Linked DNA regions of Callithrix jacchus. The protein of the gene in region 3 interacts with the protein of the main gene of each other region in a pairwise test. Links are inferred from orthologs where the notes say so. Each region holds a gene or a part of one and is shown on either strand. Other genes may lie near its edges. The genes, in order: ARHGAP19, DNM2 and ATXN3.

Region 1 (3,748 bases), on a different chromosome or scaffold from region 3:
GTTCTAAATGATCCATATTCTGCATTCAATATTTAAATATGTATTCATCTGTGCCAATCAGACAAAAAAAGGGGCCACACATCAATAGAACATTAGAAAGATTAATCTTTTCAGGGCAAGAAAGAATTTGTAAAGTATTTATCACCATGAGAAAATATTTCTCTTAGAAATTACAGATTATTATTCACTAATTACTGATCACCTACACAAAGCTAAGCACTGGGAATATGTGATAAACACATATGTGTGTCCTGCCCTCAAAATGCCTTACAGAAATCCCAAACTTCTCTTTTACAACATGGAATTGATGAAATGGTTTCAGGTTCAGGTAAGATTGTGTGAATGCCTGCTGATCATGTAATTATCTAATATTCTCACTCAAAATTTAAATTCAACTAGCAATATAATATACTATAAAGAAATTCAGGTGGCCAGGCGCAGTGGCTCACGCCTATAATCCCAGCACTTTGGGAGGCCGAGGCGGGTGGATCACGAAGTCAAGAGATCGAGACCATCCTGGTCAACAAGGTGAAACACCGTCTTTACTAAAAAGACATGAGCATGGTGGTGCGCGCCCACCTCGGGAGGCTGAGGCAGGAGAATTGCTTGAACCCAGGAGGCAGAGGTTGCAGTGAACCGAGATTGCGCCATTGCACTCCAGCCTGGGTAACAAGAGCGAAACTCCGTCTCAAAAAAAAAAAAAAAAAAGAAAAGAAAGAAATTCAGGCCAGGTGCAGTGGCTCACACCTATAATCCCAGCACTTTGGTAGGCCAAGGCAGGAGAATCACTTATGCCAGGAACTCAAGATCACCCTGGGCAACATGGCAAGACCCCTGATTCTACAAAAAAAAAAAAAAAAAAAAAAAAAAAACACTAGGTGGGCATAGTGGCACATGCCTGAAGTCCCAACTACTCAGGAGGCTGAGAAGGGATGCCTGAAGTCCCAACTACTCAGGAGGCTGAGAAGGGAGGATGGATTGAGCCCGGGAGACTGAGGCTGCAGGGACCTCTGATAGCGCCACTGCACTCCAGCCTGGGCAACAGAAAGAGACCTGTGTTAGAAACAAAGAAATTCAAATTCTTCTATATCATATTTTATTTATTTTTTTATTTATGAAACGGAGTCTTGCTCTGTCACCCAGGCTGGAGTGCAATGGCACAATCTCAGCTCCCTGCAACCTTGACCTCAGCCTCCCAAGTAGCCGGGACTACAGGCGCCCATCATCACACCTGCCTAATTTTCGCATTTTTAGTAGAGACAGAGTTTCATCATGTTGGCCAGGCTGGTCTCAAACTCCCGACCTCAGGTGATCTGCCTGCTTTGGCCTCCCAAAGTGCTGGGATTACAGGCATGAGCCACCACGCCCAGCCCCGTATCATATTTTAAATAACACACTCAAGCACACTCATCTAGGCTCGGGATCATAAAGTCAGCTTCCCAAGATTCTTGGAATCTCCTATTCTGTACAAATGGAACCAAAAGACGCCAAATCGATGTATTTTATTGAGTTATGCTGAGGCAATGTAAATAAATTCAATTTATTGAAGTATACCAAAAAACAACATTGTAATCAATTAAGACAACTTAGGTCTCAAGGCTAAGGCAACACCGCCTCGAAACTCTTTCCTGGAAACACTAAATTTCGGTGTGGCTGTTTAGGAAAGAACATCCTATGGAAATAAAGTCATGATGTCCTGGACTACAGATCCCTCCCCCATCTGCTCCTTAGCTGTTCCGCTAGGAAGAAAAAACTCTATCGCGTAGAGTTGTCATTATCGATTTAGCTCAGTGCTAGCTTTAAATGGATTGTCTTATTCAATCTTGATACTTTGAAACAGGTATCCTCATGCCCCTCTACAGATGAAGAAACTGAAGTCGAGAGAGGTTTAAAAACTGGCCCAAGGACTCAACACAGTTTCTAATTGACATCAAATCCTTGCTCGGATCTGAACGCGCTAAGTGCCTTGGGGAATATATGAAGAGATGTGTGTAACCGTGAAGAATTCGCTAAACAGCCCTGGACTTCCGTTTCTTCGCCATCCAGAGGAGTCTCGGCGCCAAGGCGATCAGCGCTGCCACCCCCAGCTTCCAGCCAGCACAGCTGGCGGAGCCCCCTAGGACAACGGCAGGACGGAGCGGGGGACCTGGCTGGAGCCCAACACTGAGGCCGGACCCCCGCGCCTCAGCCCCCGCAGGCGAGACCGTGAGAAACGCCATGGGAGAAAGAAACAAAGCCCAAACCGTGCGCCACCGTGACCGAAGGCAAAGGCGGCAGGACGACTAGCTCAAGGCCGTGTTTCCCAGGAAACTGGACCAAACTCAGCTCACCTACGGCTGGATTCGCGGGCTGGCACCTCCCCTTCACTCAGTGCCTCAGTCGCCATCTTCGTCAGCAAACTTCTTTCACCGCCCCCCTTAGGTCCCGCCCCCACATCTTTGGATTGGCTAATATGTTTCCACCTCTTCCGTGCGGTTGGATGACTCGACCGCCCCTCCTCAACCTGAACCGTTTAATATATTATTGGTCTATTCAAATGACTAACCATCATTGGTCGTTCCCAGCCCTGGCGAAAAAAAAAGGGAGGGGCGGGGAAGACGACCCAGCTCCGAGGCCTGCCGGGAGTTGTAGTTTCTCATTTTGATTACCCTTTCGATTCCATCGACTTTTAGGTTCAAGTCAGAAATCACCAGCCTACGTTCAAATTTTGTCCTGATATGTAAATCTCAGAATTATAGAGCTGTCGACTGTGAAAGTGACTCATCACTTTCTAAAATACAACACTCCATACCTGTATCTTATCATCCCACAATATACCCAGGTAACAAACATACCCATGTTACCCCAAATCTAAAATGAAAGTTGAAAATAAATAAATAATTTTTCTTATTTATTTATGTATTTGTATGTTTAGTAGAGACAGGGTTTCACCATGTTGCTCAGGCTGGTCTTGGACTCCTGAGCTTAAGCAATCCTCCCACCTCAGCCTCCCAAAGTGCTGGGATTACAGGCATGAGCCACAGCTCCCAGCTATTAATTAATTAATTTAAGGCAAGACATTCTCTGTCTTAACCCAGAGAGAAATTCCTCAAGATCAGACAGGGAGTGGCAAACTAGAAGTACTTGCTTTTTTTTTTTTTTTAAGATGGGGTTTCACCATGATGGCCAGGCTGGTCTTGAACTCCTGACCTCAGGTGATCCACCCACTTCTGCCTCCCAAAGTGCTAGGATTACAGGCGTGAGCCACCGCACCCAGCCAAAGTATTTGCTTTTAAATGTGAAATATGTGCAGTAGAGTGAAAGGAGTAGAAACCCTGTCTCCACTCAAAATACAAAAATTAGCAAGGCGTGGTGATGCACGTAGTTCCAGCTACTCGGGAGGCTGAGGCAGAATCGCTTGAAACCGGGAGGCAGAGGTGGCAACGAGCTGAGCCAGCTACTGCTGACGCAAGAGAATTGCTTGAGTCCAGTTCTGTGCTGCAATGCACTATGCCTATGGGGTGTCTGCACTAAGCGTGGCATCAACGTGGTGACCTCCCAGGAGTGGGGGCCACCAGAATGCCTAAGGAGAAGTGATACAGCCTAGGTTGGAAGCAGAGTATATCAAAAACCCCATGCTGGCCAGGCATGGTGGCTCACAAGACCAGCCTGACCAACATGGTAAAACCCCATCTCTACTAAAAATAGAAAAAAATTAGCCAGTAGTGGTAATCCCAGCTACTCAGGAGGCTGAGGCAGAGGCAGAGGT
Region 2 (3,283 bases), on a different chromosome or scaffold from region 3:
AGAGCCTGCTGACTGGGGCTCACGGACACCAGCCAGGACAGACCGGCCCCGAGAGGGCAACCAGACAGGCGGGAGGGGCCTCCCACGAAGCTCAGAAGAAGGGTCGTGCGGGAGCCGATGGAGGTGGTCGCCTGGCACAAGAGAAAAATCAGAAAGCAAAGTTTAACTGAGCCCTGGCTGGGCCACAAGGCCTGGGCTTCCCCATGAGGGTGAGAAGCAGGGACTGAGGGTAGGAAGGGGGTGAAGTGCTGGGGTCCGTGCTCCACCAGGCAGCAGCCAGGCCTGTGCGCATGGGGGTGTGTGGGGCAGTGGAGAAGATCTGCTCCCACTCCTGATGTGCTAAAGAAAGTAAAAGCTCTCCTGTGTATCGAGTGGCTTCCTCCGAAAGGTGACCCCCCTGAAAGCAGAGCCCTTCAGGGAGTGAGGTGTGAGGCGCTTATGATTGTAGGGACCTGGGCGTCCTTGTGGGAGGCCTGATGGGGGAGGTGGTGCCCACGTCCCCAGCCTGAACACCAACACAAGAGGCCCACACAGCAGCCACCAGCAGCGTCTTCCCTTTATTTTTAGTTTATTAATAGGATACAGAGTGCAGGCACTTACAGTGGTCAAACCGAGCGAGGAGTGGGTGAGGTCTGCTCAGAGGCCGCCTGGGGCCCACCCCATCAGGGTAGCATGGGCAGGAGCTGAGAGGCCCCCAAGGTCCCCCCTGCCACCACCATCCACAGAGCCCCAAGCCCAGCCACCCTGGGGGACCCAGGAGGAGGAGGAGAGTAGGAGTTGGGCGAGGCCGGCCTGGGCCAATGGCTCCAGGCCTGGCAAAGGCACCTCTGGCAGCCGAGGCTGGGCCAGGCTCAGGCTGTGTGGTTAATATGGCCAAGAAGGACTATGTACAACTCAGGCCTGGCAGCTGGGCACTGCCGAAGAGCCCATGGGGCCAGGCTCACCACTGGGGAGCTCCTGCTGATGGGACGCTGACGTGCCCCAGCAAGGCCTGGGGACATAGGCGCCCTTGGTGCCCCCACTTCTAGAAGGCCCCTGCCCTACTGGGCTTTCCCAGCCCAAGAAGACCCTGGCAGAGTCCCCCAGGCTGGACCCCTCATTCAAGATGGTGTCGAGGGTGCAGGTCCCCCCTCTGCCACCCTGAGACCCCATCCTCCAAAGTGCAACACCCCAGCACCCCCTGCCTGGAGGTCCAGGGCCCTTTCTCGCAGTGCGGTGCCTGCCCCCAGCCAGGCACAGGGGCCGGCCCTGGACCCGGGCCAGCATTAGGGAAGAGGCCAGGGCTGCCCACTGGGAGCCTGGTCCCAGCATAGGGGTGGTGGAGGGCCCCAGACCACTGAAGCTCCTGTGCCATGGGTGCGCGAGGCCCCCCGAGAGCATGCCCCCACTCGAGGCCTAGTCGAGCAGGGATGGCTCGGCTGGGCGGATAATGGTGGGCCTGTTAGGCGCAGCAGGGGGTCTTCTGCTGCAAAGAGAATAAAGACAGGTGGGGAGGGGGAGACGGCAGTGAGGCCGTGAGCCAGAGGCAGGCCTGGTTGAGGACCCAGCCCCCACCCACACGCCACCCCAGGGTGCTCCCTGGGCTGACGGCTCCACAAGCCACCAGGGTGCTGGGGAGGAGTTTGCTGAACCCCAGGCATCGATTCACCTGCTGTTTGACCCTTGGTGAGTTTCCTGCTCTATCTGGGCCTCAGCTTCCCCACTGGATAAGCAGAGAGAATAAGGCCCGGCCCACAGGGTAGAGTGAGGCAGGCAGAGGCAGGAACAAGGTTAACAGTGAGAGAAGGTGCCCAGCATGAGGGATCCCCAGCTGCCTGGTAGTGCATCCCAGTGGGCAGAGGGCAAGCTGGGAGCCCTGGAGTCACCGGGCTCCCCTACTCTGTGACACTGAACAAGCCTCTTGGCCCGTCTGGGCCTGCTTCCCAGCCAGCCAAATGGGGATGAGGACAATTCCTCCAATCCAGCAGCTGGGCACATGGGGAGAGCTCACTGGGAGGCAGTGAGACTGGAGGAGAGACCCCAGGGTACAGGTAGTTGGGGTGGGGGGCAGGGGGTTGGCCTTACCTGGGCACTCCTGGGGGGATCCCTGGGGGGATCCGAACTGGCCGCGATGGGATTTGAGGTGGGGCCGGGAAGAGGTCATTGTTGGCAAACACGCTCTGTGGTCCAGGCCGGTACGGGATTGGGGGTGGTAAGGAGGAGGTTGCTGTCCCCATGGGCAGAGGAATCATGGGGGGCCCTGGAGTGGGACCCCTCACCGCTGGGGGCCGGCCTGGGGGGTGCACACTGGACACGGGTCGGCGCTGAGGAGTAGGGCTGTGAGGAAGGAAAGGGTGTGAACTACAGACGGAGTGGGAATCCCAGCCATGCCAATTGTGGCTGCCAGGGCCCAAGGCTGGGGGGACAGCGCAGGCGCAGTGGGATCCTCCCACCCCAACCTGAGCGCCAGACCCACCTTCCCTTTCTCCCGGCCCCCAAGGGCTTCTGTTGCCCTCTGACCTCGTCCCCGCAGCCCCAACGTGGCCAAGCACTTCCCACTCACACGGCTCCCTCAGGTCTCGGGCCCTGGGATCCACCCTCACAGCCAGACACTCCAGAGTCCTCCCAGATCAAGCCTTAAAGCTTTCAGGGGCCATGGAACACACAAGCCCTTCCGAGAAACCCAGATTCCCTCCTGGGCCCCAGCACCTGCCGCCTGCAGGCCTAGGTGCAATGTACTCCCCCTAACACCATGGCTCCCCAAGGGCTCTGTAGGGTGGCCCCGAGGTTCCCTGTGACTGCCTCAATGGCCTACACTCCATCCGACACCTCGGGGGCAGGGCAGGTCTGGCCACACCTTCCGTTTGCCTCACCAGAGCCTTCCACCCACCCTTCTCTGTCCTCCAGGAGGCTCATCTCTGTTCTGTGGCTGCTGCCCCTCCAGCCTCTTACCCTGGCTTCCATTTGGGCAGTGCCGATGGAAGGCACCAGCAGAGGGCAGACGGGGTGGATTTATTCATGGTTTCCAGCCCTAGAGCTCCAAGGCCGGCTGGCCCCCATTCCCCTTCTCTCCCTTCTCAGGCCTCAGCAAGGCAGCAGCTCCCACTGTGCCCAGCCTGGGGGCCGCCCCTTCTCCTGCCCACCCTTGGGCTGTGTCCCGTTTCCTGCCAGGACCCTGCAGGACACGCGGGGAGAACAAGAACCTGCAGGCTGCACGCTTGTGGGTAGGGGAACCAGGCTCCCGGACCTGTGGCTGCTGGGGCTCTGGAGCCAGGTGTCGTCGACGGGCGGGGGCACGGGCGTG
Region 3 (3,748 bases):
GTGGAGAGTGCAGTGAGCCAAGATCACGCCACTGCACTCCAGCCTGGGCAGGAGAGAGAGACTCCATCTCAAAAAACAAAAACATCAACCTAAATTGTTGAATCTTCATTTGCTATGTACATACAACTTGATGATAACATTAAATGTATTCCTGAAGTATCTGTAGGCCTACACACATGCTAAGAATTAAGAGGGACTTCTTTCAGGTAAGTAGATTTTCACTAGGCTAGCACCCAACTTTTTTTCATACCATGGTTCAGTAGAAATGTGTCCCAACTAGGTAACAATCAATATCGTTGAAAACCTTGTCTAAATCTCAGGAAGTAGTGTGGAACATATTTAAGGCCTTCCATGTTGAGATGTGGTCCCACATCAAAGCCTTTGAAAGTTAGTAACAAAAATACGGCTGGGTGCGGTAGCTCATGCCTGTAATCCGAGCACTTTGGGAGGCCAAGGCAGGTGGATCACCTGAGGTCAGGGGTTCAAGACCTGGGCAACATGGACCCTGTCTCTACTAAAAATACAAAAATTAGCTGGATGTGGTGGTGGGCACCTGTAATCTCAACTACTCTGGAGGCTGACGCAGGAGAATCCCTTGAACCAGGGAGGAAGAGGTTGCAGTGAGCCATGATCGTGCCACTGCATTCCAGCCTGGGTGACAAGAGCAAAACTTGGTCTCAAAAAAAAAAAAAAAAAATTTTTTTTTTAAGTACATGTGTATTTTCCACCCACTCTTTAATTACTGAGCCAAGTAATTAAATCTCTATTGTCTATGATTTGTAAGTCATGTCAATCAAACCAAAAGATTAATAACAACTATACGACTGAGTCTTTCCTCCCCCACTCTAAATCAGTCTATTTTAAAAGTTTCCTAGATGTTTTCTACAATTTAAAATATTGTACTTAACAATTTGTTCCAGGCACAGTGGCTGGCTAATGCCTGTAATCACAGCACTTCGAGAGGCTGAGGTGGGAGAATCACGAGTCCAGGAGTTTGAGACAAGCATGGGCGACACAGCGAGACCCTCATCTCCACACACACACACACAAATTAGCTGGCCATGGCGATATGCACCAGAAGTCCCAGTGAGGCTGAGGCAGGAGGATCGCTTGAGCCTAGGAGGTCAAGGCTGCAGCGAGCCAGGATCTCTCCACTGCACACCTGCCTGGGTGACAGAATGAAATCCCATCGCTAAAATAAAAAATTTTTAAATAGATTCATATTACAGATTTACATCTGGTAAATTTATTGCCTTTGCTTTATTTGTTGTGTGTGTGTGAATTTTAAATGTCTGGGATAATTAATCGTGATAATTACTGATCATTTACAAGTATTTAATTAAACAAAAACCCTTTGCTCCTCCTATTAAATAACAGCCTCGCCAGCAACTCCAAACACGAAACTATTATGAAACAAGACATCATATGCCAAAGTTGTCCTGGGGAAGGCTTCACTCACACACAAATGGCTGGATTAATAGCATGTGAGTAAAGACAAGTTTCTCCACTTATCACAAACAGTATCTTCAAGTGCATGGTCACTGAAGAGTTAAAGTGACAGCGGGCTAGGCAGACCACAACAAAATCATTCCAATCCACTCCTAATACCCAAACACAAAGCTGGCCGCCTGCTCCGGAAAGATGGGAGTACCCAAAGAAACCAAACCCAAACATCCCGTAATAAAAACTTGTGACGACTTCCCTGTTAAGGGACAAGCCGGGTTTCCTACTTCACTTCCTAAGTGTCAGGCCCCAGTGTGGGGGAGCCAAGGTCCCTTCCTTCGGGAGGCTTGCGGACCCAGTGCAGGGGAAAGACATGAACAAGACTCCAAAGATCTACGTGTAGGGAAGACTCTACACTGCAATATAGAATTGAGCAGTCCAGAGATGAAAAAGTTAATTCTGCCAGGAATGGGGTAGGAGGGGTCGAGGGAGATGTCCCAGAGGTCACTCTAGCTAGACCCTAGGGAGAGAGAAGGCTTGCGGAGGTCAAAGAATCCTTCGAAAAGCGATTGAAAGTGACGGAAAAAGGCAGAAGCGAACCCACTAGGCGCCACCCCACTCCCTTGTCCCGAGACGCCCCGGCCCCGCCCATACACCCTCCCGGCTTCCCGGGCGGGGGCCTAGGAAGCAGCGGGGGAAGTGGGGGATTCTGTGATGCTCCCCTTCCAGAGCCGAGGAGGCAGGAGGCTGCGGGGTCGCCCCTCGCCCGGCGAGATCCGGATGGGGGCGACTCGGGCCCCACCCAGCCCCCTGGGAGGTTGTGATGCCGCGCTCCACGCCCGCCACCGCGCGGCAGACAGCTCCCCACCGCACGGACATACAGCTCCCCACCGAACGCGGACACTCACTTTCTCGTGGAAGATGGACTCCATGTTTATTTGTCTGGAGCCAACGGCCCCCGCGCGGAACCACCCCCTCCAGCTCCGCCCCCTGCCCCTCTCCTCCGCCTATCCCGCCCCTCCCTGGTCCGCCCCAGTCTCCCCGCCCACGTGCAGTACGTAGACCAATCACCCGTGAGGATGTGAGTCACGTGGAGCAAAGAGCGAGTGAACGCCAGCGACACGTGACCTTGGTAGCCCGTCCTCCTATATTCTGTTAGCGGGCCTTCTGGGAGATGCTACAGCGCCACCTGCTGTTTGGAGGATCTGTTCCGCTTCCCACCCATTTCTATGGATTCTTAGGTTTCTGGCCGGAGGTCTGGACCACTCACCTGGGTTCTATGTTCTTTTTGTTTTCCACTTTATTTGAACTTTCTACTGTGTTCAAATAACTATTTATTATCTTTCTCCTCCTCCTCCAATTAAAGGTTGTTAAGCAAAGGTGTCATTACATTCTCCCAAAACCTAGCACTTGTATAAAAATGATAGCTAGGCCAGGGGTAGTGGCTCACACCTGTAATCCCAGCACTTTGGGAGGCCGAGGCAGGCGAATCACCTGAGGTTGGGAGTTCGAGACTAGCCTGACCAACGTGAAGCAACCCCCATCTCTACTAAAAATACAAAATTAGCTAGGCATGGTGGCACATGCCTGAATTCCCAGCTACTCCGTTGGCTGAGGCAGGAGAATCGCTTGTACCCAGGAGATGAAGGTTGGGGTGAGCTGAGATCGTGCCATTGCACTCCAGCCTGGGCAATAAGAGTGAAACTCCATCACACACACAAAAAAGAAAACAAAAAAGTTAGCTAATATTCATATAGGGCTTTCCATGAGCTAGGCACTTTTCTAATTGCTTTACACATATTATCAAATTTAATACAGCAAACTTTGATGTCGGTGTTGATGTTATTCATACACATGAGGAAACCAAGGCACAGAGAGATTAAGAAGAGTACAATGTCCAAGATAGTAAGTTACCTTGCTAGGATTCAAATTCAAGTGGCTTGTTACCAGCATAGGTGTTCTGGCCCTTTAGAGGGAAATTAGAGGTGCAGTGAATTGTGTGGGAAACGGGGAGGTAGCAGCAGTTTGATGAACCTTAAATGGAAGGATAGGCACACATCTTGCACCTGGAAACCAGATTAAGATGCACTTTTTTTTTTTTTTCTGAGACGGAGTTTCTCTCTCTGTCCATCTCACCAAAAAAAAAAAAAAAAAAAAAATGGCTGGGCACGGTGGCTGTCGCCTGTAATCCTGGCACTTTGGGAAGCTGAGGTGAGATCACCTGAGGTCAGAAGTTCAAGACCAGCCTGGCCAACATGGTGAAACCCCGTCTCTACTAAAAATGCAAAAATTAGTCAGGCGTGGT

What was found.
Region 1: the proteins of ATXN3 (region 3) and ARHGAP19 interact in binary tests that used the Homo sapiens proteins (3 or more experiments, as listed by UniProt). The link is inferred for Callithrix jacchus from reciprocal best matches to the Homo sapiens genes ATXN3 and ARHGAP19.
Region 2: the proteins of ATXN3 (region 3) and DNM2 interact in binary tests that used the Homo sapiens proteins (3 or more experiments, as listed by UniProt). The link is inferred for Callithrix jacchus from reciprocal best matches to the Homo sapiens genes ATXN3 and DNM2.

The regions. Positions count from the first base shown.
Region 1 is NC_133513.1:90,127,284-90,131,031, forward strand, and holds the start of ARHGAP19 (rho GTPase-activating protein 19), read right to left. Parts: upstream 2,411-3,748; 5' UTR 2,387-2,410; coding exon 2,331-2,386; intron 1-2,330. UniProt on the Homo sapiens protein: GTPase activator for the Rho-type GTPases by converting them to an inactive GDP-bound state.
Region 2 is NC_133523.1:9,995,258-9,998,540, reverse strand, and holds the end of DNM2 (dynamin-2), read right to left. Parts: coding exon 3,227-3,283; intron 2,317-3,226; coding exon 2,065-2,316; intron 1,466-2,064; coding exon 1,396-1,465; 3' UTR 539-1,395; downstream 1-538. UniProt on the Homo sapiens protein: Catalyzes the hydrolysis of GTP and utilizes this energy to mediate vesicle scission at plasma membrane during endocytosis and filament remodeling at many actin structures during organization of the actin cytoskeleton.
Region 3 is NC_133509.1:126,952,957-126,956,704, forward strand, and holds the start of ATXN3 (ataxin-3), read right to left. Parts: upstream 2,446-3,748; 5' UTR 2,376-2,445; coding exon 2,352-2,375; intron 1,060-2,351; exon of another isoform or gene 921-1,059; intron 1-920. UniProt on the Homo sapiens protein: Deubiquitinating enzyme involved in protein homeostasis maintenance, transcription, cytoskeleton regulation, myogenesis and degradation of misfolded chaperone substrates.